Coturnix japonica: one gene and its partners. The protein of the gene in region 1 interacts with the protein of each later gene in a pairwise test. Links are inferred from orthologs where the notes say so. Each region holds a gene or a part of one and is shown in the gene's direction. Other genes may lie near its edges.

Region 1 (4,299 bases):
CTGCGGAAGGAAAGTCCTCCCGCACACCACCAAGGCAATGCAAACCATGTGCCAAGGCACCAGGAGGAAAATGGTTACATCACATATTCACAGTACTCCAGTGAGTCAGATACAACAACAGACTATGTCATGGATAAGTATAGAGACAAGACTCTCTATGGGGAAGAGCTAGACAGGTACTACAAAGGGGGCTACGCTGCCAAGCAGAACGGGCACATGATGAAAGTCACTTCCAAGGACATATATTATTCAGAAATGACACCCCTGAAATCAGACCTCTCCAGGTTCCTTCCGGATTACCATGCACAAGTGGAGACGATGCCCAAACCACTTGAATATGGAGGTCTAAAGCTGGAGTACCAGAGGATTCCCAGTGGATCCTCACTGGACTACAGAGACCCCTTCCCTTACGCCCTGTCCCGAGCGTCAGTGCAGAGCGAATGCCCCAAGGAGAGACTGGAGTACAGTGACGGCGAATGGGGGCACAGCCCAGCCAAGGATGACTATGACAAGAGGCCCAAGTCATCCTACGTGGACCCAGCGAGTCCTCAGCCAACCATGAGGCAGAGGTCCAGGTCAGGCTCCGGTCTGCAGGAGCCAGCCATGCCCTATGGAGCAAGTGCATTTAAAGCACACCAGCAGGGACACTCCTACAGCTCCTACACCTACCCTCGCTTGTCTGAAACTGCAGCAGGCATCTCCAAGGTAATGTTAAGACCCCTGGTGTGGGTACTGCCAGGACAGGGACCCTTCCAAAATGGGAATGCAAAAAATTAAGCAAAATGTTAAGGGCATGGATCTATGCTTGGAAACACAGTGGTAGGAAGCATGCAACCATGGTTAGGTGGATATAAAATCCCACCAGGTTTACTTGGGTAACTGAAAACAAGAGGTTTAAGATACTTATTCAAAGAACAGTTTGGAGGCACCCAACTTCCATGAGTTTTACTTGGGATTTCTGAAAATCCCAAGTTCTGTGGCAGTTTACATGGGATTAGGAGTTCGTATGCTAATGCAAATGTTGGCAGAGCTGGGAAGTTGGTCTGGTTTGAATGTCAGGTACTTCTTGTATTTGAGTCGTTCTTGCTGACATCTCTGTGCCAGTTAGAAAACCGTTCCTGGTTTGCTGAGGAAAGACGGCCACGATCCCAGCACGTCTGTCAGGCAGAGGAGCTGCCTGCAGCTCAGCCAGCTCATACCAGCCCACACAGCCACCAGTCTGACAGTGCTCTGTGTGTACTATGAGATTCATTAACCCTTTCCCACCAATGAGGGAAGGGACTTATCCCTTACCTCTTCAATTTTTAAGAAGTGAAATAAAATCCAAGTGTCTCCTCGCACCCAAGACATTCCAGTAGTTGTTAACAAAAATAAGGGTCAAGATAGGAAAGCAGCTCCGCTGTGTTATCTACAAGCAGCTCCTCTGCAGAAGCTGTTGCTCTCTCTGCCTTTTCTAAGTTGCATGAATATTACCCAAGCAAACTATCATACCCTACCCTACCTTCTTGCAGCCTTGTTCAGCTAAAGGAATCTCTTCTCCATCAAGTCACACTGCTCCAAAAAAGACCTGCTTAAACATTTAATATTCTGCAAGAGATGTTTTTTCCTTTGGTGTAGATTTCATTGAATGTTACTGGGTTCCCTTAGCAACAGGCAGCATTGCTGTGACTTGCCAGATGTGCTGAGCTTGGTAGCTGTCACACGATGATACCCCTTCTGCTTATGATGGTGTCTGAACAGTGTGTTTTCTTACAGCCTCTGTGCACTGAGAACTTGGTCAGACCCAGATGTCATCTCAGACCTCTGCAGATACACCATGGCTTCATACCAGAGGCATGCCTGCATCTTGCTTAGGTTTTCTGGGAGGGATGCCTATACATTGTTAGCTGTGTTAAAATACAGATTCTGGAGTTTGTGAGGAAAGCTTGGGATGGGCTGCCTGCCATTTCTTTCTTTTAAAACAATCATTTTGTCTGCTGAGAAAGAGGAAGGACAAATCCACCAATAATTCATAAACTCTCTTGTTCCTGCTCCTGCCAGATTTACAGCATTCAGTAAGATGGAAGGCAGAGGTGTATTTCACAGGACTTGGAGCATTGCAGATGCTGTAAAATATCCCATTAAAATGCAGTAACAACTTTTATTAAAGAAAAAGATGCCTTCGTGCAAGATTCATTTTGAGCCGTTGCTCTCCTTGGAGCATCAAAAGCACTCGTGTAGCCTCGGTATATTGAAATTTGATGATTCACTGTTAAACACAGCAGTTTCAATTCCCAAACCCATCCGCAACTCCTGGAAGTGAATAGCAGCTTCGTGTCTTGGATGATTGCTGAGGAATCTGCTTTTCAAGGAGGCATTAGTAAGATAATGGTTCATTTAATGGGTTTACTAAGTGAGAATCGAGTCTCAAATCAGATATTGTACAAATGAAATTGGCTTTAAAGTATAATTAAAAGGGGGAAAAAGTAAGCACTGAAAAAGTCCTCAGGCACAAACGTAGGGCTTCAAAATGCATTTAACAAAGATGTGCATTTTGACTTGTAAATCTGAAGAGTAGGTGCAGATGGGTATTATTACAGATGTCAGATAAATGAGATACATGCCCTGTTCTGGCAGCAGGTTTCAGACATGTTGTGTCATACCTGGCTGCTGAGGTGGCCATGCACAGACCTGAGTGAGGCTGCAGCCAGACGAGCAGCAGCACGTCGCATTGCACTGCAGGGCTGTGACTTCATGTGCTCCCCTGACCTCATCTTGAATGAGAGTAGGGCTGGTTTTCACTTTCCTTTGTAGTATTTACAGACTTGCCTTTTGGTAGGTAATTGCACCCAATAGCAGGAATAATGGCATTATTAGCAGAATCAAGTGTGCTCAATTTTGCCACGCTGTGAAGAACTGTGTGAGGGCACAGCTGAGGAGAGGTGAGGCTGATGGAGTCACTTGGGCTCCCCTACTTCAGTAACATTGCATGGTCTGCAGGAAGTGAATGGTTGTACTGCAGATACACTGAAACACGAGCTGCAGAAAGCTTGCAAAAAAGGCGCTGAACATCTCTGTTTTCCTTCTATAATTTCACTGCGGAATTTGCTTGTCCCAACACATGGGGCATGCTCAGAAAAGAGAGGCTGTGGGTGACGCCCTGTGGTGGTCCATTGGTGTGGATTTGTCTCGTTTTAGTTTTAGACTGGGCTTTCCCCATCTTGATATAAAAATGGTGTATTCGCAGTCAGAGCAATCATCTGTGTGGCTCTGTGTACGTAGATATATAGGACAGGTCTGGATTGAGTTCCCCTCCCTCCACCAAACCATCTGAGCACTTTGCTGTGTTAATTAGTTGGGCAGCTGTCATGTCCTTCACGAAACACACGATGTCTCCGACCCCCTTCTATCTCACAGCTGCATAAGTGAAATCCCAACCGTAAGCATTTGTATGTCACACGCGTACAGAAGCAGCAGCCGAGGAGGCGGCCGTGTAACACTGCCAGCATTGGATGCGGGCACCGTGTGGCTGGGAGCTCACACAGCAGCCGCCTCCAGCTGCACGCTGCCAATGGAAGTGCCTGCACAGCCCTCACACAGAGGCATCCCCTGTGCCCTGCTCACCCCCAGCAGGACAGCAGGGGCATGCCCGGCTCACACGCAGCGCCCAGAAGCGCTGATACAGCGCTGCTCTTCTTCATTCCGAGGCTTTTCTCCCCACAACCGAGTGACTCCAGCTAGAATCTCCTCCTCGCTGTGCAGCAGCCTACACTGATAGATTGATGCTGCGGCAGATTTTTTTTCTTCTCTCTCTCTCTCTTTTTCTTTTTTTTTTTTTGCAGTCTTCGCATAAAACGGTCAAATGATGTTCCAGCGCAGAATTCAATTTCACAGTTCAGTTGGGTCCTTGATTACACTGCCAAATTCAGATTAATGTGCATTTAACTAACATGGATCAGGGACTCCTGGCCGGCAGCCAGCAGCAATAGTAGCTGCCGTGAGCTGTGTCGGGGTTGCTGCGCTGTCCACCTCTGTGGGCCGCCGCGGAAATTGATTGATTAAATGAATTCATTGCCGTAATTATTTGTAATCGTGCTACATCATGAGCCTGTGCCTGACCACCCCCAGCCCCTCAGTGCCCCACCTGCCGCCAGGAGTCACGTATGTTATGTCATAAACGTGGAGATGCCCTTTCCTGGGAAAAGAAATTAATACTTTTGTTCCAGGTGCATTTTTTTGACTTAGATCCTTTTCTGTTTTTCACAGATGGAGACAGTTTTGTTTATGAATGCAGAGTATTTGCTGACTTTCATTGTGAGT
Region 2 (5,077 bases), on another chromosome or scaffold:
ATCAAAGAAAAGCCACATTGCTCTGCGCTCAGTAACAGGGAGAGCAGGCAGCCATCTCTTCTCATCTGACACGCACAGAGCAGCGTCTTTAGCACAAAGATAGAGCCAGCCTCTGCGAGAAAGCAGCATGCAGTGAACTAAACAGCCATAGGATGTCTCCGTCAGAACAAACTGTAGTGGGTACAGTCATGCTGTTGACAAGTAGAAGACTGGATGTGAAAGCAGAGGGCACAGTTCACACTGCCCCATCTACTGACCCTGGGGCTCTGACTTTGCTCCCCAATGCCGAGCCATGCACCAGGCTGCAGCACTGCTGCACACCCAGCCTGGGTGCCCCGATCCAAGAGACTCACAGCAGGAACAGCGCTGTGATTTGCTACAGGAAAACATGCATCAATGCCTGGCTTCCCCATGCACTAACTCCACACCTCTACCCAAATTGAATGTGCCAGCACCTCTGACTAAAAATAAAGCACGCAGGGTGACAGTGACTCCAGAGAGGATTAGGAAAGCCCCATTCTGCAGAACTGTCTGCTCACATTCCCATTACAGCAGAACTGCTGCACCCCTCCCCTGGTTCCTCACGCAGCCACTGGCACCATGGGATGAGGAACACAAAGCCCAGCACAGGGACCTGGATCCCTGCTGAGTTCCAGCCAGGCCTGAAATACAGGCTGTCCCACTGCTCGGGACTTCCTGGGCACCTCCCAACACGAGGCAGGATCCCACCCTTCCTCATGGCAGCCCAGAGGCACACGGGCACCCCAGGCCTGAGGGGAACGAGAAGGAGAGTCCTGCTGGCAATAGCAGGACATGGGGAAATGGTTTTAAGTTAAAAGAGGGAAGATTTAAGTTGGATGTCAGGGGGAAGTTCTTCACTAGGAGAGTGGTTAGGCCCTGGAACAGGCTGCCCAGGGAGGTTGTGGATGCCCCGTCCTTGGAGGTGTTCAAGGCCTGGTTGGACGGGGCCATGGGCAACCTGATCTATGGGGTCTCTATGGGGATCTATGGGGTCTCCTGGGCAACCTGATGTAATAAATGTGTATGTTTGGTGGCCCTGCCAGGCAGGGGGTTGGAACTACATGATCCTTGAGGTCCCTTCCAACCCGGGTCATTCTGTGATTCTGAGAGCTGCTGTTAAGTATCTCAGCAGCCACAAGGAGAAAAGGGGCAAAAGTGTGAGAGGAAAAGAGAGGAAGGACCCCGGGTCCCATCAGCCCTGAGGGGATGGAGCAGTGAGGGGCAGTGAGAGCCGGGTGGGGGCTGCAGGAAGGGCCGGGGCTGCAGGGAGGAGCTTATGGAGATGGGGGGGATCGGGGCCGGGCGGAATCAAGGCGAGGGGAACCCGGACAGCGGGGAGCAGAGGGGAAGGAAGGGAAGGAAGGGAGGGAAGCAGGGAAGGCCTGAGGCCCAGCGGGGCCCTGTGGGCGCCGGACACGGTCCCTCACCTGCATGACGACCTCCACCTCGTACGCGTTGCCTTTACTGCGCTGCTGCCCGCGGAACTTGGCCCCGCTGTACAGCAGGGATGTGGCCACTCCGGGCTGCGCCGTGTTGATGGGAGGCGGCGGCACCAAACTGCTGGCGGCCGCTCCGGACGGAGCCGATGATGCCGGTCCCGCCGCTCCGCCCGCTCGGCCCCGCTCGCTGCGCACCGGCATCTCGGGGGGGTCCCCGGGCGCCAGCGTGGCCGGGGCTCAGCGGCCGCCACCGGGGCCGCGCTCCGCTCCGCTCCCCTCACGCCCAGGCCGCCGCCGCCGCCGCCTGGCTCGGGGCCTCCCGGCAACGCCCCCGCGCTCTCCCATTGGCCCTCGCGAAGCGGCGAGAAGGCGGGGCGGAGCTCCGATTGGCGGAGAGCTCTCCTTCCCGGCAGGTTTTACGGTGAGGAGGCTGCTGGGAAATGTAGTTTGTTCGCCTCGCGCCTCACGCGACGGGAAGGCCGAAGGGGCAAAGCGCGTTCTGTGCTCCCATTGGGCGGAGCGGGGCAACATGGCGGCGCCCGGGGCGACAAGCTGAGCCGGGGGAGGCCGCTCCGAGCCGGGGTAGGCCGCAACGCTCCAGCTCCGTTCGCCGCCCCTCATCGTTCCTCTCGGCTCCTCATCGTTCTCTTCGGCTCCTCCGCCGCCATGTGCCGCCTCCTGCAGGCCCTGGGCCGCATCCCGGCTGTGGCAGCCCGGAGCCGCCCGCTGTGTCCGGGTGGGAGTCGAACATACGCCCCTCCCGCAGGTGAGGAGCTGTGGGCCCCGCGGGGAGGAGCCCGGAGCCCCGTGTGAGAGCGGGGGAACGCGGGGGGTGTCGGTGTGTGTGTGTGTGGGGGGGGATTAGTGGGAGCCCCCTCCTCAAGGTCAGCTCTTGCTGGCTGGGGGAGGGGTTGGGTTCCGGCCTTCAGAATGGGCTGAAGAAAGGAGGAAGAGGGAAAATGGGCTCCGAGGTGGGTAAGGAGGTGGTGGGGCGTCACTGCGCTGCTTTTCCATCAGTGGGTTTGAAGGTTCCCTTTGGTTGCGGGTGGGATGGCGGGGAGCTCCACCAGCCCCTCCCAGGCACGTGCTGGGCTGTGCAGCCCCTCTACAGATATTGCTGGAAACACGAGGATGGGAGTCAGGGTTTCATTGAGTATCATGAGGCCAATGGGAACACGCTGAGGTGCCTGAATCCTCCCAGAGCTGTGCTCCAGCACTGCAGCATTTCCTGAGGCCCTGAAGCTTGTAGGAGGCTGAGTGGATCCCCATCCTTCTCTCTGCTGGGCCCGTGTTGGCAGGGCACAGTTCAGTGACAGCCAGGAGGTGGATTCAATGGGCTCAGCATTTACGAGCTGGTTGTAATTGTCAAGGGAATCTTCTGGGTGAGACGTGTGGGCTGCGGTGAGCTGAGGACAGTGGTTCCTCCCCAGTGACTCAGCTGCCACGTGCAACGTGTCTGACACATGATCCAGTTGCTGCTGCACATAGGGTTCATGGTTCCTCCAAGTGGTGTCTGCAAGAAATCTGCTCCTATGGGTGGTCAGGAGATCTGGGGCATTGCTGTGGATGTCACCAGTATTGTGACACCTCCCAGGTTGAATAGAACTCACTGGAATGGAGAGGGGCTTGAATGAGTGGGATTTTGTGGCTGTTCTGTGGGCTGCAGCAGCTCTGAGGGCTCCCTGTGTTCTGACAAACCTCCCCTTGCCACCCTTTCAATTGCTCTGTTTTCAACCCCCCAGAGAGGAAGCGGTTTTACCAGAACGTGAGCATCTCACAAGGAGAAGGTGAGTGGAGCTGCTGGGGCAGGCGAGGGCTGGTACTCACACGGGGGTTACCATCACAAGGCAGTGCTGTGTCTGCAGCCCCTGTTGTGAGCTGGGCTGTCTGTCACCCACATGCTCTGCCCTTGTCCTCATCCATAGTAAAACCATGTGGTGGGAAAGTTTCCAGCATCATCTGGGGAAGAGCAATGTCAAAACATTGATGTTGGTGGGAAAATTGCTGATTCCTTGCTCCCTTCAGCTCCAGCTCTGAGCTTGTTCCCTCTATGGGGTAGTCTGTTGTTCCTTAGTGCCTGCTCCTCTTTAATTCCCCAGGATTTCTACTCTGATTCCCCAGGAGGCTTTGAAATCAACCTGGACCACCGGAAGCTGAAAACACCCCAGGCCAAGCTCTTCACTGTCCCCAGTGAGGCCTTGGCCATTGCAGTGGCAACAGAATGGGACTCTCAGAAAGACACCATCAAGTTCTACACTATGCACCTGGTGAGCACAGCAGGTCAGAGTGCTGAAGCACAAAAATGGTCTCCAGAGGCAGAACACAGAGAGAGACCAGGCTGTCCTAATGTCAATTGAAGTGGGAACAGGAGTTCAGTGCCTTGGCTGAGTACTGTGGATAACTTAAGGCTGAGCAGGCAGCTGGATGCTGGCTACAGGACTGGGAGGGAAACCCGTGTCACTGGGGAGTTTGAGAAGGGGATGGAGAGCATTTCTGGGGATAGCAAGGGGTATGAACAGGTTGGATAGACTCTATTATATGAGCCATGTTCTGACTCTATGTTTCCCTCTTAAGTAAGCTCCTTGATTCTTGCAGTCTGTCCCAAATTCTTCTGCTTATCTTGACCTAGTACACTGGAAACTGCTGCTTCCTTGAGCTTTAGATAACAGTGATTTCAGTTGCCTTTATCCTGCAGACCACACTGTGCAACACAGCTCTGGACAATCCCACTCAGCGAAACAAGGTGCAGCTGATCCGTGCAGCTGTGAAGTTCCTGGAGACTGACACTGTCTGGTAAGGGACTGCGGGATGCACTGGCACAGAGGTGGGGTTGTCTTGTTGTAGAGTGGTTGAGAGAACTGAGGGAAAATGTCTGTTCTAACCAAGTCATTGCAGGGCTCTGCTCTGTCCTGGCTTTGGCCCAGGGGTTTGAATTAGTTTAGACGAGTCCTATGTCCACCAACCTAGTGGAACTCCATGCATTTAAAGGGCATAGATACAAAGAACAGGGACCTGTTTCTTTGTTGAAATCTGTTTGGAGATGTCCATGTTGGACAGGGAGCAGGAGCAGCAAGAAATGTAGTGGGAAAAGCAAAGAAAGGCTTGGGAGAATGTCAGCTCAGTCCCCTGGCACTCCAGTAGCATAAAGGTGTAGTAAGCTTAGATTACCTGTACTAGTAGTAAAATGCCCTTTGCTCCTTAAAGCTCCTGTGGGTTGCAGGATCCAGCCTACCCAAGCTCACGTCTCACAATCTCAGCCTCTGAGGTGTCCACTGGCAGCTGCTTTGCTCCTGAAGGGAGAGGGAAACCAGATTCACCTCACTTTTTGTGGCTTTGTTTGTGTTGGGCTGGGCAGGGCGGTGGCTGGTGAGTGCTAAGCTGAGCCACTGGGCGTGCAAGGCAGCAGGAAGGGCCCTGTGGGATTTGTCCCATGGATCACTAAATCTTGCTGCATCCCTTGGCTGGTTTCAGGTAATCTGCAGTCTTCTGTTGTAGATTGTAGCCCTGTTATATAGCTGCATAGAACTGTCCTTTCTAGAACAATAAAAAGCTTTGAATGGAGAGATTATTCCCAGTCCCAGCTGTTGCAGGTAGGGTGAACAAGAGGTCTATGCTCC
Region 3 (4,966 bases), on another chromosome or scaffold:
GCTCCAAAAGTAATGCCTCCTATTTATTTCCATAACTACAACAGATGCAAGGAGCACATTAAGTTTATTTGATATCCAATGACATTGCAAATGCACTTGCAAGTCATTTTGACAAGCATGTCATAAAGAATATGGTCATGCAGATGTTTTGCTCTGCGATAGTTCAATTCCACTTTATTCTCTCAAACGTATCTAAAACGTTTTTATGTTTTATTATATTAGTTTTTATATTTTAGTTAAAATTTGTCATGGTTTAACTTAGGAGCCTGCAGTGAAGTCTTAAAAACATTAGCAAAGAAAAATAAATATCTACATTCCTTAGATTTCTACAGGCAACATTAAATTAAAATAAAGAAGATTTCTGACCTAAGAAGGAATGATAGTTGCCCAAATAACAAAGTAGAAAATTCTGAGATCAACACAGCTTGAGAAACCTCCTCTTGAAGAAGCAGGACACCTTTTAAATTAGTATAAGCTGTAAAACAAGTGGAAAGAAGGAAGTATTTGCTGATGAAGAAAAGTGATTTTGAGACATTTTTACTTAGATGTGCGAAACAGTTTTATAAGCATCTCTGTTGCTTTTGCAGCTAACTGCAAGAGGCCTGAAGATACAACATGGCGCAGCGTGGCATGGCTTCTATGAGCGTTTTTCATCTCAGCATGCAGAAGCAGCATGGTTTCAGCAGTTGCTCCTTATTCTACTTTACATGAACGAATGACTGTTGTAGAAACACGGGGATGCAAAGTATCAGCTAACAAAAGTGCTGCAGATTATCTCCGAGTAGCAGACACAGGCTCATGGGGTTGAGGTAAAAACACGTGGTTCAACACAAAGAAGCACACAAAGTGCCTCAGGCATCCACATGTGCTGCACAAGATGGCAGAACAAAGAATCAACACCTCCTCCTGCCAGGCCAACCTTCCTGTATTCTCTGAAGGAGGATCAGAAGGCTCAGAGAAAACAGGAAAAAACATTTATTAGTGATCTGAATCAAGGAAAGAGTCCAACAGCAACAGTTAAGCCGTGGGACCATTGGTTGTCTGGCAAATATATCAAGAAATGAAGCAGAAATTTGTAACATTTCAAGGTTTACAACAAAAGAAAAACTTCTGAGCAACTCAGATCGACGATCCAACAAATGAAATCCTGATGTTCAATAAATGTAAATACAGTGAAGTCCACTTTCAAGCACCCAGATCTGATAAACAGAGCGTGCAATTCTTTGGGAAGCAAAACAAATAAACAAACAAAAACACTCACTTGGAAGGCTACATTCACACGGCATTTCTGGAAATTAATATATATATTGCCTTACTTCTTAGTCCGAACACTTCCACAAGCACACACCACAAGGGATCATTTGCTTTTAGTCAATGGATCTAAATAGTGAAACATCCGAAATAACACCCCAAAAAGTTTCAGTAGACGAAGTACCTTCCACGTGCACGCCTTCCAACACCGGCCATGTTCCATCGCCGCCATTAGATGGAGCTGCAGAGCAGCACAGCAGGCTGAACGTCAATCAGCCCCGCGGGGTGGGCCGGGCCGGGCGGAGCGGAGCGGGGGGCGGTGTAACTGAGCGGAGCCGAGACGGGTTTATGGCACCGTGCGGGTGGGGGTCGGCACCCGGGTGAGTGGGGGCTGTGTAAGGGTTGAGGCTCGCGCAGCGCCTCGGGACCTTCCCCCGGCAGAAGGAAGCAGTGAGGCGGCCACAAGGTAAGGGCACGGAGTCGGACCCAACAGCCGGCGGTTCGGGTTTCTCCGCGCCGTGCCCGCATCGCTGGCGGTGCAGAGCGGGGCGGTGGGCGATTCGTACCCGCTCGGTGCGGCCCCGAGGTGGATGAGGACAGGCCCGGGCTTATCCCGGACATGTCCTGTGCGGGCGGCGCGTGCGCGGCCCCGTCGGGCCCGGGGTGGTTCGGTGTTGTGAGTGTGTGTGTGTGTGTGTGTGTGTGGGGCTGCGTTGGAACTTGTTTCTTCTTGCAGATGATCGAGACGCTCGTGAGCAGCGATGCCCGCGCGCTGCTGTACCAACTCACAGCTCTGCTGGAGCAGGAGGTGCGGTGTCAGCCGAAAGGTTCGGGCCTGAGGTTGATCGAGGCTGCCCATGATAACGGGCTCCGAATGACCGCCAGGCTGCGAGACTTTGAAGTGAAGGATCTGCTCAGCTTAACTCAGTTTTTCGGCTTCCACACGGAGACCTTCTCGCTGGCTGTCAACTTCTTAGATAGATTCTTGTCCAAAATGAAGGTATGGCTGTTTAAAGTATAACCTCGTTAGCTTCTCTTCGCTGCGACCTTGCTCCTGTTTATGTAGAAGGTCTTGCTTTGTTTTTAGATGGCTAAAGGTTAAGCTCCTTCCCCAGATCCTGATTGCAGAGCTTAAAAAATGGCTTTCCCTGGTTGGATTTCAGCAGTGCTAAGAAAGATGCTTCCTCTGAAGAAGAGAAGGAAGGGGGCGTCTGTTCCAACTTGAGGGTGCCCGTAGGCTTGGAAATGCAGGCTGCGTTATTGCTTTAGATCGAGACAGGCTGTCTGGCCTGTTGCACATACCCAAGAACACGCTGAATTACCTCACAGTTTACTGCTGTTTAAACCCACTAGTGTGTCTTAGGTATAACAAGAGTTGGGATACTGTTCAGCATTTATTAATCATGTAAAATGAGTGTCTAGCTAGCATTCTGTTCTTTAGCATGTATTTGGCATGCTGACCTGGGTTATTTGTCTTAACAAGACAGGATTACTGCTATTCCAATTAGTCCAAGACAAATGCTTGACTTTCTTGTATGTTAGTATGTCCCTTAAAAATCAGAAGGCTGGGTGGAGTATGAGACTTCTGAATCCAAAACATGCCCTTACAGATTCTCTGTGGTTCCCTTTTATACATACATACATATGTGTGTATATATGTATATACACTAAATTCTTGGGATAAGCCAATATGTACAACACTTTAGGTCCTACACAACCTCATTAAGAAACTAGTTCTACCAAATCTTTTTTTTTTTTTTTTTCCCCTAAAATAACATATAATTTGGTACTTGCATATTGAAATGGTTTATTTAAGGCTTCCCTCTTTAAAAGTAACAAAAAACTTTGACTTTTCTTTAGGTACAGCCTAAACACTTGGGCTGTGTTGGATTGAGCTGCTTCTACCTGGCTGTGAAGGCGACAGAAGAAGAGAGAAATGTTCCCTTAGCCACCGACTTAATTCGAATAAGCCAGTATAGGTTCACTGTTTCTGATATGATGAGAATGGAGAAAATCGTATTGGAGAAGCTGTCTTGGAAAGTCAAAGCAACAACAGCCTTCCAGTTTCTACAGCTTTATCACTCGCTCATTCATGAGAATTTAAGCTGTGAAAGGTAAAATATCTCAAGCTTATTTTGTTAACAGCTGCAGGTGATCAGGAAGCCTATGTTGGAAAACAAGCAGATTTAGTCAAGTAATTGGCCTTTGGATATTCAAAAAAAAAAAAAAAGAAAAACCAACAAAACAGGATAAAACCTTCCTCCTTAATATTAATGTGAATACTGAGGTGTAATGTTATCTTAAAATGTTTTTTTTTGTTGTTGTATAAAGTCATTAAATGAGTGTTGTTCTCTAAGTCCCAAAACAAATTACTCAACAGTGATAGTGTAAGAATGTTATGTCTGTAAAGCCTTACTGCAAAGGTTTCAAAATAGGGTTTCAGAAAAATGTTCCTTTTAGTAGTTAACATTGAAGCTCCCTTGTGCTAAATCTATTTTGATAATGCTGTTTTTCCCACTGTAATGCAAGATTTATTTTGGGCATGAAGACTGTCAAAATTTAACACCTGCTTGACTAAAATAGTTCTTCTCCTGGTACAAATGAGGCCCTTGTTTAGAGAAGAGTGGTCTTAATAAATGTTGTGTTCTTGTGCAACAGTGACTTATCTGTTTTTATTACAGGAAGAGATACCTTAATTTTGAGAGACTTGAGACCCAGCTTAAGGCATGTCACTGCAGAATCATGTTTTCTAAAGCTAAGGTAAACTTCTTGTAAGCTGGTTGGTGAGACTGGAGAAACTTTAAAGTTGCAGATCAAAAATGTCATCTTATCTTTCTCTCTCCAGCCTTCTGTCTTAGCACTGTCTATTCTGGCACTAGAGATAGAAGAACAAAAACTACTGGAATTGACAGAGGCACTGGAATTTCTGCAGTTGCAGTCCAAGGTATGGATAAAGCTTTTCAGGGTGTGGGAATAAAAATGCATGTGAAAGCTTTCTCGCTGGGGGGAGGGGAGTTCTATTGATGTGCTGGTTTCTATTTTCCTCTTTTTATCTTCCATCTGGCTTGAGATGTTTGGCTTTTTATCTTAAGTAGCTAAAAATGCATATGTAATTTAAGGATGTAATGAGTTAGTAACATATGGATTCTGTCTCACTATTTAGATAAACAACAGAGATTTGACCTTCTGGAAGGAGTTGGTGTTGAAGTGCCTTACAGAATATTCCTCGAGCAAGTGTTCCAAACCAAATGTCCAGAAATTAAAATGGATCGTGTCTGGACGTACAGCACGGCAGCTTAAACATAGCTATTATAGAATAACACACCTTCCTACAATTCCAGAAACCAGCTCGTAATAGGTAATAACCTGTAAAAGCAGCTTCTCACAATGTAGAATTAATTAGCTGTTAACTATCTCAAAGTTTCTTAGTCCATATAGGTAACCTGTTGGAGATGTAAACGTAGATGTAGTAGGCCTGTCACAGAGGCTGGTCTGTTCTCATGTTCATGCTTGAGCCTGTGATGTACCTAAAGAAGTGGCTACCTAATACGTGAACACTGGAAAAGGAACTGATGCTTTGATGTACTTTGGGAGCAGAAAAGTATTCTACAGACATTGGAACCTCATTCAAACTTATATACAGAGTAAAACTGGTAAAACAAAAAGCAGGGGAAATACTTAGCTTGCTCCTATCACAGAAAGAATCAAACAGGAA
Region 4 (4,314 bases), on another chromosome or scaffold:
ACCGCATACAGGAGCTCACGGGGTGCCACGTCTGCCCACACCTGCACCACGTCCCCACCAGCACTAGCAAACGGGAAGGCACAGCGCAGCGCCTGTCCTGATGTCACCCTCACGTACAGCTTCCCTGTCACCTCCTGCTCCCCGGGACAGGCAGCGCGCAGCAACAGCATGTACCAGTTCACCCTGTGGGCATCAAGCTCTGCGCCAGCTCGCAGTGTCACCTGTGTGGGGACATGGCACTCAGTGGGGTGCCACACGCTCCAGCCCCACTCCCTGCCCCCCAGCCGTACCTCTGCCCTATATGTGGAAGCGGGCACGCCATCGGCACTGATTGCAATGGGGTTGAAGGGGTGGTTGGGATCAATGTTGCGTGGGGTGACGCTGGAGGCACTGGACTCGACGTGCTGCAGTGTGACGTGGGGGCTGCTGCTGGCATTGCTGCAGGACACAGACACCTCGGCCACACGGGCACCCGGCGCAGCATCCTCACTGAGTGTCACTATGCGAGGCAGGTCGGGCAGGGCTGGGGGGACACCCCAGGGTTGGCATCGTGTGGCCACGGCCACCAGCAGCTCACATGGCTGTCAGGGAACCGGGTCCTGTCCCCTGTCCCCATGGGGGTATGGGTGGCACCGCCGCTCTTACCTGCTGCCTTTACCAAGGTCCCTGCAAAGAGCACAGTGTCACTGCAGCCTGCCAGGCTGCCCCTGCAGTGCCCAGTGATGCCCCCAAGATATCCCAGACTCTGAAGCCGCCACCCCCTGTGCCCATCCTGGGGTGGGCACCCAAAGGACCCCATTTCCCGTCCCTCTTCTTTCGGTTCCTTTGAGTGCGGCTGAAGCCCAGGGCTGCCTACCTGGGGCACGGAGGAGGAGGAAGAGGAGGCAGGTGAGGTGTCCGTACGTGCCCATGGTTTGGCAGCTGTTTGGGACAAGCCGGAGCTCGTTGCCACGGGCGTCGGGCACCACCCACGCGCGGCGTCACGCCGGTCACCGCGGCTCCCAGCCCAGCCCCGGGGCGGGTGGGGGGTCAGGTCACGACCCCGCCGCGGCCGCCGATCCACGCCGCGCTCCGTGGGACCGGCTGAATTACCGGGCGGCTAATTGGAACCCTTCATTAGCAAAGCAGAGCGGCTAATAGCCGGCAATTAACAGGCGCGGGCGGGCGGCGGGTCTCCGCTCCCCTCCCCTCGGTAACGGGGCCGCCTCGCCCCGCGGGTCGTGTCCGGACGCGCCGAGCGGGGCCCCGGGGCGGCGGGCGGGGCGGGGCGGTGCCGGTGCCGGTACGGGCCGGGCTCACGTTACGGCGGCCCCATTGGCTGCGGCGGGCGGGGCGGCGCCGCGGCGGGAGGCGGCGGGCAGGGCCGGGGCTGAGCCGCGCTCCGCTGCTCCGCGGGGCCGCGGCCGCTCCGCCACCGGCACCGGCACCGGGAGCGGGGCCGGGCCGGGGATGCACAGCGCCCGTCTGGACGGCGGCCTCGGGCAGCGCCGCGCCGAGCCGGTGAGTGCCGGACGGGTCGCGGCGTGTCGGGGCGCGGGGCCGCGGGTGACATCAGCGCGGTGACATCACGCGTGGGAGCACCGAGCCAGGGACGCGGGCGGGGGGCGCGAGGCCGGCGGGGAACGGACGGCAGCTGTCAGCCGCAGCACCGACACCGGCGGAGCCGGGACCCGCCGAGCCCCTCCCGCTCCGAGCCCTCCCAGCGCCCCACGGCGGGACGGGGCGGTGGCGGGGACCGGGGAGAGGGCGAGGGGAGAGAGACGTGAGGGCAGGGCAGAGGGGACGGGGGAATGAACACCGGGCGTGCGGCTCCGCGGGCGGCGGGACGGGACGCGGAACGGGCCGCTATCCGAGAGAGGGAAGCGGACGTAGCAGCAGCTTTTGGGCTCAGACAATAGGAATTCAAGAAAGAGGAGCGGCCCGGCCGCGGGGACCGGGCTCTTTCCTTCCGCTGCCGCTCGGCAGCGCGCCCCGTTCCCCCGCCGCCCCTCGGCCCCGTGCGGTCGGGTCGCGTCGAAGCCGGGGGGGAAGCGGGTCCGACGGCAGCCGGAGCCCTCGCGCGGAGCTCCCTCCCTGGGGACGTCGCCCCGTCCCGTCCCGTCCCACCCATCGGGGCGCCCCGTGGCGGCGAGGGGCCGTGGCGGGGGGCGCGGGGCTGCTACGTGCCTCGGCCCCGTGTCACTTCCCGCAGGCACGGCCGGGCCGGGCGCCGCTCGCTCCGACATGCCGCCGCACGCCGGGCCGGGGCTGCGGGAAAGCGGGGCCCGGGGCCGCGGGCGAGCCGGGACCTGCGCCCGCCGCCGGCCCGACGCTGAGCCGCCCTTCTCCCCGCAGCGCTGCCGCCGGGAGCACATGCCCGGCACGCGGCCGGCACAACACGACCCCCGCCCCGCGCCCCGCCGGCCCGGCTCCGCCTGCAGCGAGGAGGAGCAGCGGGGCCCGGCCGCCCGCTCGCCCCCCGCCAGCGAGCGCAGCCTGGAGTGCGACTCGGGCTACTCGGAGGCCTCCGGGGGCACGTGGCGCGAGGACGAAGCTCCGGTGCTGCGGCGGCCGCCCCCGCCCTCCCTGCGCCATCACCGACTCTCCGCCGTCGTGCCCCCGCCCGCCCCCGCCCGCCGCGCCCGCCCCAAATCCACGTCGGACGCCTGCCTGGAGCAGTGGCGGGCGCTGGAACCGGCCGACGGGAGGGACTGGACGGTGTCGCTGCTGTCGCAGAGCCGCAACCGGCAGCCGCTGGTGCTGGGGGACAACTGCTTCGCCGACCTGGTGGAGAACTGGATGGACCTGCCCGAGGTGGGCGCCGAGCCCCGACGCCGACCGACCGCGGAGCCCTCGCGTCGGCTGGGCAAACCGCCCGCCTTCCTGCTCAGCCTCTCGGGCAACGTGCGCCGCAAGCTGGCCAGCATGGCCCGGCCACGAGGAGCCGACGGAGCCCGGCCGGGGGGCCGCGACCCCGCCAAGCGCCTGTCGTGCCCGCTGGGGCTGGGCGGGCAGCCCAAGGGAGCCTGCTTCCATCAGTCCCACAGCAACATCGCCCAGCTGGCCACGGACTTCCACCGCTTCACCGCCCTCATGAACAGCCGCAGCCGCCAGCCCATCATCTGCAACGACGTCATCGGCTACATCTAGCTCCGCCATGCCCCCCCCGCTGTAAATAAACCCCCGTTTTGTACGATACGGACGCGGCCGCCTTTGTGGGGTGCAGCACTGGCAGGGGGTGCGACGCAGGGAGCTCGTAACACAGCTTATCCCATGGCTTTTATTGCGTGGGGCAGGCGGTGACATCGGGGCACCCCGCAGGCTCAGGGCAGGGTGCAGAGAAGTGGGGGGCAGGCGTCCTCCAGCTGGTCCCCGGCACACACGTATTGCAGCTCCAGCTGCTGCAGCTCTGCAGAGCCCTGCACGCCATCTGACAGCCTGCAGGCAGGAAAGAAACTCTGCACTGGGCCGGACCCCCAGCCCCCATGGCCAGGGGCCGGCGGGGGTCCAGCAGGGGAAGCGCTGCCGGCAGCAGGATGTTTACCCTGCAGCTGGAGCAGAGCAGGAGAGAGATGGGGGCCCTGTAACACCAGAACCGCTGCCTACCTCTGTGCCTGCTGCCGTGCCCGCATCTCCTCATCCTCCTCCCCATCGTACAGCATGGTGCTGCCATGCAGGAGCTTGGTGACGGTCCACCCGTACTCTTCCTGCAGCCAGGCCAGCAGCTCCCGCACTGTCATCGCCTGCCCATCCTCCCCAATAGCACGCACCTCCAGCCGGTCCCAGCAGCTCCACTCCTTCCCCCTGTACTGTGTGGGGAGCAGAGCGCATGGATGAGGGCTGTGGACAGGGGTTTGAGAAGAGGGGGCTAGGGGACAAGGAGTTGGAATGGGACACAGCCACCCCCCGGCACCACTGTCCCCATCCACGCACAAAGCCCCATTGACAAGCAGCCCAGCCCCACACAATCGCCTCTTCTTGTGCCTTTGGCCCCCGGGGTTTGGTGACCCCGGCTGCAGCCCCAGTGCAGGATGCGGCCCCAGCACTTGGCATGGCTGCCCACCATCTGCCCCGCTGCAGGCAGCGCTCAGTGCTGTGCTGGCCCAGCCATGTCCCGCGGATGCTGGCAGCGGGCCGCCCTCGCCTCCTGCCTTCTGCTGCCTGTGCCGGGAGAGGCCTTAACCCCATCTGCACCACTACAGCCACATGCACACAATGTCCCCCAAGCCGCGGCTTTGGTGGGCTCTCAGGACCCCATGGTACCACTGGGATCCGAGCCATAGGGCAGCACTACTGCCACATCCCAGCATGAAGTGTCACCGAGCTGCACTGGGA
Region 5 (4,299 bases), on another chromosome or scaffold:
GATCCCAGGTAGGGTGACTATACAGATTGAGGAGCTTGAGTTTTGTGAATGACCAGAAGAAGGGAAGCTGTTTACAATCAATTAAAACAGGAAGGTGAAAAAAAGTAGGTAGCTTTTATGCTCTTACCAGGTTTAGTGTCCTATCATTCCAACTTCTAATGATACAAAGACTTCAAATAGTACCAGTCATCTGCAGGGAATTTTAATACAGTATTATAGTATTCATATAGTATACATAGTATTTAATATAGTATTAATATAGTATTGTAGTTAGTAGCATGGGTTGCCCACCCAGGAGTCATCTTAGTGTCTTCCTCTTTTGTTTTATATAACATTTTATATACGTGCATTTTAAATTTATCACTAGTATTTTAAGACAGTTACTGAATTCTATACATTAAGTTTATCTGTAACTAAGGAGATTTCTTGTTTGTTTATTCTGTTTTCTCACTAGCATCTTTGGAAACTGATGGTGGAGGAATCTGACTTACTTGGACAACTGAAGGTAATGTTACTGTTAACTTGTTTCTGCAAAAGTAGCTTAAAATTGCTGGTGTGGGATTTGCTTTGTTTCATTTTTTTTTAATGGTCCTTTCCCAGCAAATGCTTTACTGTCTTATGTTTTATACTTTCTTCTTTTAGGTAACTCTCTTTTCATTTCCCAAGATCATGAGTACAGTGATAGAACTTAGTCAGAGACAGAGTTAAAGGAGAAAATGTATGTGGTTTTGTGCTTTGCATCTCAGAGATTCATTTTATTGCTTGCAGTGCATTGCACTGTAGACTTTCTGGCCACTGGATGAAGTTTACAGCTCTCCAGCTGTGTTTTGAAATGGCAGAAATTGTCCAAGTAATCAAAAAGCATTACCAGTTATAATGCTTACTCTTTCTGCTCAGTTTTTTATATGCTTACATATAAAAACTTTTCTAAACAGATTATAAAAGACTTTTACCTTTTGGGAAGAGGCGAGCTGTTTCAGGCCTTCATTGACACTGCACAGCACATGTTAAAAACACCACCTACGGCTGTAACAGAACATGGTGAGTGCTGATTACTCATCTACAAAATGTCCTCCCTGTGCTCTGGCAGGAAAATAGTAAAGTCCAGTGCAGATTTCCTTATCTTATCCTCTGAATGTTTTCATTAGTTTTGAAAGAGCAGTACTTCTGAATTACAGAATAATGCACATTGGGCAAAAATAACATCTTTCAGTAACTTTCAGATGATAGCTTTCTCTCCGTATTGAAGAGCGAAGTTAAAGTAGTGAAAGTAGTGTTGGTCTTTTATGGCCCAACGTAAATAATTAATAGGTGCAAAATAAGCACTGTCCCTATCTTGAGTTTTCTGTTAATATTTGTGTTTTCTCTCTATCAGACATCAATGTTGCATTTCAGCAGTCTGCTCATAAGGTACTGTTAGATGATGACAACCTTCTTCCTTTGCTTCACTTGACCATTGAGTATCATGGAAAGGAGCATAAAGGTATCTATTTGAATTTTTAGTAATGAGTTAAGAGGGATTATGACAATGACCTGGTTTTCAAAATCCTACTGCTCTCATGTGGATTTAAGAAATATTAAATTCTCTTCCTTAACAGCCCTGTGTGATACCCTAGTTTGCTTTTCCTCTTCTTGTTCTGTTCTTTCCCCTTTTCATTCTTCTCTGGAAGGCTTTGCCTTGACTGAGAGAAAGACGTAACTGAGCACCTTATCTGTTTTCAGATTCTTCTCAGACTCGTGAAGGGACTTCCCGAGAGTTATCTCCACGTGAAGCTCCTGCATCTGGCTGGGCAGCTCTGGGCCTTTCTTACAAAGTTCAGTGGCCACTGCATATTCTCTTTACTCCTGCTGTTTTGGAAAAGTAAGTACTAAGTATTGTCTTTGTGTCTGGAAGCTCCCTGATCTCAGGCTTTTTTCCCTTATAGAGAGCATATAAAAGGTATCTACCTATCTAAAGGTAGAGCTTTAGCACCTGAGCTTGCTCACTGAGCCTTACTCTTCCTACTTAGCAATGTTGAGGTTACTTGTTGCAGATGAGGCCATGGCTGAGCTGTCAGCAAAACAGATCTGTCAAAACTTCACCAGCTCTTTTCTGGTAATGTTAGAATTTGTTTTGTTTTTTTTTGTAATCAATAACCAATACAATCGAATCTGTTACTGAAATTGGCTGCTACTTCATCTACCCTGTCTGTTGGCAGGCAACTATCTGCCATTTCTCTTTCCAGTCTTACACTGTTGTGTTCTCCAGTACCTGTAATCAAGAAAGAGTTCTGTCCTAAACAGCTTTGTTCTTTTTTGACTGTAGGTACAATGTTGTGTTCAAATACCTGCTCAGCGTGCGACGGGTCCAGGCAGAGCTACAGCATTGCTGGGCTCTCCAGATGCAACGTAAACACCTGAAATCTAACAGAACTGATGCCATCAAGTGGCGTCTGAGGGACCACATGGCTTTTCTTGTGGACAATCTCCAGTATTATCTCCAAGTGAGTATTAAACAGAGTTGAACTTGTATCACTTAATTGGGAACTGACAGAAATCTAGGGTGGGAGCTCTGAAGTTTTAAACTACAACTTTCTCCAAGTTCCCGGATTCAGTGCTACAACTGTACAGTTAGTGGATATGTGAATCAATAGAGTTTTAAGTATTAATGGAAATGCAAATGTTTCTGGCTCTCTAGTGCTATTAAGGAGCTGTGAGAAGCCCCACTTACCCCTGAAGCTAAATCAATAAGCTGCATCCTGTCTTGGTCCTTTGCCCCTTGAAGTGAACTCTACTTTGTTGAGTAACAGTGAGTTCTTTTGGGTGGTTTTGTGTTTGTTTCTTTTAGTTAGGATTTTTTTTTTTTAATTGAAAGAAGCCATGTTCTCAGTTTCAAATCCCAACAGTAGTTAGTAGTAGCATAATTTTGCAAAAATCAATTTGTTAATAGCTACAACAGTGGAATCTAGGGGGTCTGATTTTCAGGCTTTCTGGAGTAATGGCTCAAGCCTTTGCCCTGATGAGCATATTATGCAGGCTTTGCCCATTGCTGGTGAAAGTGCATAGTTAGTGGTGGTGACTGTATTGAAAAACAGTGCTTTGTAGCCGTGAATGTGATTTATCGTACAGAAACAAATAGATTGCTCCAAAAGTCATGCTTCCTAAGTACTTTTTTCACTAGTTAGAAATTAACTGTTTTTCTGCATTTGGGATCAGTTCTTTCCTTATTACTGTACTACTGTTGTATATAGAACTCCATTAATGACGCAGATAGAAATCAATGCTCAGCCTCTAATATAAGGGTAGCGGTAGGGAAAGCAAATTTCTTATACAACTTCTAGCTGGTCTGAGGTATTCCTATTCTTCTAGGAAGCTGTTAATGTAAACTCTTTGCATATTCATCAGGTGGATGTACTGGAATCTCAGTTCTCACAGCTTCTCCAGCAAATAAATGCCACACGAGATTTTGAGAGTATACGACTGGCTCATGATCATTTCTTAAGTAATCTGTTGGCTCAGTCTTTCATCCTCCTAAAGCCTGTAAGTAGATCTTGTTTTCAACTCTTTTTCTATAAGTTGTTTTTTCCTCAAGAAAAAGGGCCTTGGTGACTACTGAAAAATATGGCATTAATATCATCTGGATTATGAATGCTTTAATTTTCAGGAACTAAAAACAAACTTCCTCTGAGGCTGAGCTCTGTATGTAATTGGTAACCTGTACTTTTTTTCCCTGTACAGGTTTTCCACTGTTTAAATGAAATTCTGGACCTTTGTCATAGTTTTTGTTCTCTGGTGAGTCAGAATCTGGGACCGTTAGATGAGCGTGGAGCTGCACAACTCAGTATTCTGGTGAAGGTGAATGTCTATTGATATGGTCTTGTTCATCTCCCTTGCAAACAGCTAAGCTTTAACTTTACTCTTGTTCTACGCTGAGATCAGACCTTCTGTGTGGACACTCAGAATTACTTGAATTAATCAATATCACCTTTTGGCTGCACCTAATTGTTTCGGCTCACAGGTTACCTTATAGTAGACCTCAAGCAAAAATCTTTTGCAGTGATACTTTTGAGAGGCTTTCCTGAACAGGTTTCCTGTAATTTGTAGGGGTTCAGTCGTCAGTCGTCGCTGCTCTTCAAGATTCTATCTAGTGTTCGAAACCATCAAATAAACTCCTACTTAGCACAACTGCTACTACGTCTGGATTATAACAAATACTACACACAGGCTGGAGGCACCTTGGGCAGGTAGGAATGGCTTCAGTGGCACTTGCAGAATTATCCTGGGGCACGTGAAATATAAAGCATGCTACACACTTGTAAT
Region 6 (5,043 bases), on another chromosome or scaffold:
ATGGCAGGATTCCTACGTAGCACTTAGGATACAAGGGTGGTGAAAAAACAACAGGGAGGAGACCCCGAGCTGTCTCTGAGCTCTATTGTCAGAGTGGAGCTCCCAGGCACTGCCCCGAGCTGCTTTTGTTGGGCTTTTGACCTCACCTTCGAATTCCACTGCCCTCGGTTAAGGAAGAAATGGTTTTAATGGGTCTTAAGACTTAACACAGCCTGAGCTGAGGTGTAGCCCTGTGTGTTACATTGCTGCGGTGCTGTATTCCAGCTTCTTGCTTTGAAAGCCCAAAGTTCCAGTGCTGGGAGCTACACACAAAGACTCCTCATTGCTCAGGTGAAAGGTCTGGAGCCCAGGTTCAGCCACAGTGCTGGGTCTGCTCACCTCAACCTTTCTTTCCCCCCTGCTTCTCACATAGAACAGCTTGTGGGCTCTGTTTGGATATAGATCTGTAGCATGCATGAGTGGACGTCATGTTTTCCATGCTGCTGCATCTCAGGAGGAGAAGGAAGCTTTCTGGTTCCGTTGCTGGCCAGCAACGTGGATCTTAGTTCCTTTTTTAGCCCTGCCAAGCTTGCCTTGTGCCAAAAACCTTTGAGGTGCAAATCCCAGGAGGGAGATAAAATAGCTCCGTGCCCTGCAGGTGTTGTAAGGGTAAGTAGTGCTCCTGCTGGTGACAGCTGCTGGGGAACTGACCAAGCAAGAATCCTGTGAGAGGAATGGGATGTCAGGTCTGTGGAAACTGAGCACTCTGGTGTTTATGGTCTTGCACTGGGTCACCATATGTACTTGTGTTGTTTGTGATGGGATGTCAGGGAGTTAAACCTCCTTCCAAGCAAACTAATCTTCAGTTTGTGTCCTGGGTGAGGGTTAGTTACTACCTGCCTCTTTTCCAAGCATATTAAACTTCAAATAGAAAAGGCAGTAATTAAAATCTAAGACATTTCGGTGGCTAACTTTAGCTCAGTGAACACTTTTCTACTAAGAAAACTGCTGTGATGCCTAAACAAGAGGTTTCTGGAATATGTGAAGTGTCAGAGGTACTTATTGAAGTCATTAATAGCAGAAAGTACACTGTGTTGCATGTAACTCAGCCAAGAGAACTTTTATTTCTAGTATTTCTCAACCCTGTGCAAACATCATGTAATGCACAGGAAGATTAATTCTGGCCTGTTGGGCTTGTATAGAAGTCTTGGATGTGTTGCTTTTGGAGAGCCTGAGCAGCTGTATGTGGAAAATCAGAAATGCATTTCATGTTGGCAGAGGTGTTGGACCATAAGCACACACTGCATCATGCTCTGTGCTCCGAAACAATGACTCAACCCAGGAGTGATGAAATACGTGCTGTCAGATCCTTGATAACTCTGAGCTTTAATTTCGGAAGGAGATGCAGAGCAGAACTTGGAATAAGAAGGGAAAAGAGCAGTCCAGGGATTTTGAACAGCTGGGCCCCAAGTGGATGGTGCTGTACAAATTGCACTGACCCTTTCCAGTGGAAATCAGTGAGCGCTGCTGTCTTCAGGAGGTTGAGAAGCAATTTATATCCAACAAATTGGAATCAGGGATTCCTGCGCCCTTTATGAAAATATAGAGTAACTCGAATTGTAAGAGTCCAATTTCATGTCACAAGTAATGAAATCTGAACCTGTGCAGGAAATAAAATCCCAGTGCTGATGTCACCATCTGGTTTATGATGTGGCTGCTTTTGTTCCTGGGCGAGCACTCGAGCGTTCTACAAGTGAGGTGCTTACAGGACAGAGTCCCTTGCACTGCACCTGCTGATAGTGCCTGCACTGTGAGTCAGTGGGAGCTGCCCCAGCACATCCCCAGGCTCTGCACAGATCCTTCACTGCCACAATGCAAGGTAACAACAGCCTGGAGGTTTGGGTTCCAATCTCTGCCAGCTTGGGGCACGTTGACTGTGAGTAGATTGGTTTTTGGTCTGACCTACGAGGAGAGCAGAGGGAGGTTTGTTGGGTGCTGGTGTTTTCTTGCTGTAGTGAAGCCCGATGTGCTGGAGTGCAGGAGCATGCAGCCAGCCCTGGGAACTCTGCAACTCTTGGCAGAGAGCAGCTTGCTATTGCTTCTTCCTTCAGGGACAGAGTGTGGAGCATCTCCTCCACAGCAAAGAAATGGGACGTACTTTTGCAACCTCTGCTTCATGGGCTGAGACATCAGCTCTTCTTTGTGTGGAAGTCTTCATGTAGAAGTTTCGAAGAGTCCAATTTTGGATCTATCCCTTTTTATGTGGGTCTCCTTGTATATCTCAGATTTAAGCATGATTATGAGGTTCTGTGAATGAGCCACAGGCCTGGATCAAAGGCTGGTTAGTGTTACTCTTTCTTATCTCTGTGTGTTTGTTCTGCAAAGGAGCACTTTTCAGCTGTTCTTGAGTTTCTGGGCAGTCAGCAAAAGTACTTTGCAGTGGCACCTGCCAGCAGCAGGGCTTGGGGCTGTGGCTCCTCCACACACAGGAAACTCCATGTTTAGTGTGTTAGTGATGTAGAGGCATTTACGCTTTATTTTGTGAGTGCTTGTGCCCGTTTATAATAGCTGCTTTCACTGTATGTTTTGAATGTGGCAAGTCTTCCCTTTCAGAAGTACCACCAAAGACTGCATCTCAAAGTATGGCAGGAACTGGAAAGCATGTGGGTTTCTGCACATTTATTTTTAGTGCTTGCAGTGGGTTATTTCTTCGAGGTTTTATGTAGAATACACAATAATCACAACTTCTGCAGCTTAAAGCGTGCAGCACTAAGGGTCTAAGTGAGAAGTGCTTTACCAAGGAGACTATTGATGAGCAGATCACCCAGCAGAGAGATGATTAACTCTAGAAGGTTGAAACTTACTTTATGTCTACATTAGCAGGAGAATGGCTCCAGGAGACCTCCCTCTTCCCGTGCCATGTCCTTCTTAGCTTGGCTCGCTGTCCTTGGGAGTGCTGCCTTTTTAGGGACGGCTGCAGCTGGCACATGCAGCATCTCCCAGGCAACAGAAGATCTTAGTTGTGTTTCGGACCACAGGCGAGTGGTTCTTGGGATGGTAACCTGAGACAGTTTGTCTTTGCCAGGATTCAGTCCTTCCCTAGAATTAGAAGTGCTCACATGCTGCGGGTTACAAAGCTGTAATTGCCTTTGCTTGCGAGGGACACAGCAGCTGTAAGAAGTGTGGTAGGCAGGACTGCAGGCTGTTGCACAAGAAGTGAGGGCAGAGGCAAAGAGGTCCCTGGCTGGTGATCAGACAGCAAGAAGGCAGCTGCATGGCATGCAAGTGGCAGTGCAGTGTCTCCCCTATCACCTTGGCTTCTGCTTTGCTCTGCTGGTTTTGTATGCAGATGCGGTGCCATCCACCTTCCTCAGCATCACTGTTATATAGGAGACTATGAATGCTACAGCTTGGGAGGCAGGGAATTGACTCAGAAAGAGAATATTTGGTCTGGGGGAAAAAGAAAATCCTTTTGCCCTTGAAGCAATAGGCAATTGTTAAATAAGATGTGTGTTCTAGATGTCTTTTCCTGCTCCTGTAGATCAAAGTTACTTTGTGTATTAATAAAGCATCAACAACGAAAACTGAAGTTGAATGGATCCTTAGTCAACTAAAGGGCTGCCAGGCTCTCAGGTGAAGGTGATTAATAAGGGCTGGGCTCAGACCATGCAGGATTGCTTTTCAGCATAGATGCACAACGCATGCACATGGCTGCATCTACCCCTTGCAGCCTGTCCATGGGTTGATTTTCATGCATGCTTAGAGACAAGCTTGAGGCTCCTGTGCAAAACAGAGACGTAACCTTTTATTCAGGGACTACAAAACGCTTTGTAAAAAGAAATTTAAATTATTCATTGCTTCTGAACTAAGAATGGCTTCATCCTCAAAACAGCTAGAGGAAACAAAAACTACAGCACAGAGCTGGAATTGTAAGAGAACATTAGGGAAATAAAGCAGAATGCCTTGGTTTTGCAGTGATGTCTGCACCCCATAGCAAGCACCTCGAGCAGCCTGATTCTTTTTTCTGCATGGAAGCTGTGGTGTCTGTTTGTATTGCAGGATCCTTGTGTAGTGGGTAGATCTAAGACGAAGGTAAGTTGGCCTCAGTGTGCAGTTAGTCATTTCCTGTCATGCTTTCATGTTTGAGTTGTAGTGTATTTGTTTTGACCTTTATTTCTTGGGGCAAAGAGGTTTTGAGACATTGTTTCTGGAGCCTTCATCCTGCAGTTGGGTAAGCAGTTAGGCGTCTGTGTGGCCATGGACCAAGTCAGCTGGGTTTTATGGTCATCAATGTGGGGCTGGTTGGTTTATTGGTCTTATTGTGGACGTATATTTGATATACATTTGTTTGGTGGAGAACTCTGCCTCCACGCAGGTGCCCCATTGTGATCCTGATAGGTTGGGACGGGGCTACAGCACACAGAGCAAGAAAAGCAATGCTACAACAACGAGGTAACACGAGGCCCACAAGCACCAGTTTGCAGTTTCATCTGCATTTATATATACCCTCTTTATGACTTTCTAGTTGAACCCTCATCCAGTTACGATCCCCCACCACCTTTTCTTGTCCATCACTTTGTAACGACAAGGGCAAAGGAGGCTTACTGATAGATTAATCCACCTCTAAGCAACAGGCACTTTCCAGATTAGCTCCTGCCTGGACCTGGTATGAAACCTAGGGGCTGGAGGCCAGCTGCTGCCCGTTAATTTGTTTTGATGACTATCTTTAGGGTTTGTTTGTGTTCTCTTGCAAGTAGGACACTGGTAAGCATACGGTCTGCTCAGTGCATCTGAAAGGTTTATTCAGCCCTGCGTAATAAATATATTCCTTATTCTTGCCTGATTTTCTAGTTGAAAAAGGAAAACAAGGGGAAACTAAAGAAATGTGTGGATTTGCTACTAGCAGGTTCTCCAAATGGGAACGGCCAGGCCCATCTATCTTAATAGCACTGCAGTTGAGGCCAAGACTCCCTAAGCATGGTGCCTTCAGTGAGGCAAGTCTAAAGACCGTGTGTGCTCTCAGCATGCATGTTTTTGGTATCCCTATTCCCATAATCGAATAAG

Evidence for each region.
Region 2: the proteins of PAK5 (region 1) and ATPAF2 interact in binary tests that used the Homo sapiens proteins (3 or more experiments, as listed by UniProt). The two-hybrid records come from large-scale screens. The link is inferred for Coturnix japonica from reciprocal best matches to the Homo sapiens genes PAK5 and ATPAF2.
Region 3: the proteins of PAK5 (region 1) and CCNG1 interact in binary tests that used the Homo sapiens proteins (3 or more experiments, as listed by UniProt). The two-hybrid records come from large-scale screens. The link is inferred for Coturnix japonica from reciprocal best matches to the Homo sapiens genes PAK5 and CCNG1.
Region 4: the proteins of PAK5 (region 1) and INKA1 interact in binary tests that used the Homo sapiens proteins (3 or more experiments, as listed by UniProt). The two-hybrid records come from large-scale screens. The link is inferred for Coturnix japonica from reciprocal best matches to the Homo sapiens genes PAK5 and INKA1.
Region 5: the proteins of PAK5 (region 1) and TUBGCP4 interact in a two-hybrid assay, tested with the Homo sapiens proteins (2 studies listed by BioGRID and IntAct). The two-hybrid records come from large-scale screens. The link is inferred for Coturnix japonica from reciprocal best matches to the Homo sapiens genes PAK5 and TUBGCP4.
Region 6: the proteins of PAK5 (region 1) and FHL3 interact in a two-hybrid assay, tested with the Homo sapiens proteins (2 studies listed by BioGRID and IntAct). The two-hybrid records come from large-scale screens. The link is inferred for Coturnix japonica from reciprocal best matches to the Homo sapiens genes PAK5 and FHL3.

What each region holds. Positions count from the first base shown.
Region 1 is NC_029518.1:12,075,780-12,080,078, forward strand, and holds part of PAK5 (serine/threonine-protein kinase PAK 5), read left to right. Parts: coding exon 1-705; intron 706-4,245; coding exon 4,246-4,293; intron 4,294-4,299.
Region 2 is NC_029529.1:5,012,006-5,017,082, reverse strand, and holds the start of ATPAF2 (ATP synthase mitochondrial F1 complex assembly factor 2), read left to right. Parts: upstream 1-1,804; 5' UTR 1,805-2,126; coding exon 2,127-2,226; intron 2,227-2,598; exon of another isoform or gene 2,599-2,923; coding exon of another isoform or gene 2,924-2,999; intron 3,000-3,202; coding exon 3,203-3,247; intron 3,248-3,581; coding exon 3,582-3,727; intron 3,728-4,155; coding exon 4,156-4,253; intron 4,254-5,077. Other genes in the region: GID4 (glucose-induced degradation protein 4 homolog), read right to left, coding at 1,449-1,661. UniProt on the Homo sapiens protein: Plays a role in the assembly of the F1 component of the mitochondrial ATP synthase (ATPase).
Region 3 is NC_029528.1:9,005,717-9,010,682, reverse strand, and holds the start of CCNG1 (cyclin-G1), read left to right. Parts: upstream 1-1,532; 5' UTR 1,533-1,717; intron 1,718-1,987; coding exon 1,988-2,251; intron 2,252-3,111; coding exon 3,112-3,365; intron 3,366-3,932; coding exon 3,933-4,011; intron 4,012-4,096; coding exon 4,097-4,195; intron 4,196-4,414; coding exon 4,415-4,606; 3' UTR 4,607-4,609; intron 4,610-4,966. UniProt on the Homo sapiens protein: May play a role in growth regulation. Is associated with G2/M phase arrest in response to DNA damage. May be an intermediate by which p53 mediates its role as an inhibitor of cellular proliferation.
Region 4 is NC_029527.1:1,347,727-1,352,040, forward strand, and holds INKA1 (PAK4-inhibitor INKA1), read left to right. Parts: upstream 1-1,360; 5' UTR 1,361-1,449; coding exon 1,450-1,500; intron 1,501-2,334; coding exon 2,335-3,129; 3' UTR 3,130-3,177; downstream 3,178-4,314. Other genes in the region: UBA7 (ubiquitin-like modifier-activating enzyme 7), read right to left, coding at 3,303-3,417, 3,586-3,788. UniProt on the Homo sapiens protein: Inhibitor of the serine/threonine-protein kinase PAK4. Acts by binding PAK4 in a substrate-like manner, inhibiting the protein kinase activity.
Region 5 is NC_029525.1:18,420,169-18,424,467, reverse strand, and holds part of TUBGCP4 (gamma-tubulin complex component 4), read left to right. Parts: intron 1-454; coding exon 455-505; intron 506-935; coding exon 936-1,041; intron 1,042-1,375; coding exon 1,376-1,483; intron 1,484-1,722; coding exon 1,723-1,861; intron 1,862-2,305; coding exon 2,306-2,483; intron 2,484-3,384; coding exon 3,385-3,519; intron 3,520-3,717; coding exon 3,718-3,834; intron 3,835-4,083; coding exon 4,084-4,223; intron 4,224-4,299. UniProt on the Homo sapiens protein: Component of the gamma-tubulin ring complex (gTuRC) which mediates microtubule nucleation.
Region 6 is NC_029538.1:3,109,178-3,114,220, forward strand, and holds the start of FHL3 (four and a half LIM domains protein 3), read left to right. Parts: upstream 1-1,719; 5' UTR 1,720-1,851; coding exon 1,852-1,858; intron 1,859-5,043. UniProt on the Homo sapiens protein: Recruited by SOX15 to FOXK1 promoters where it acts as a transcriptional coactivator of FOXK1.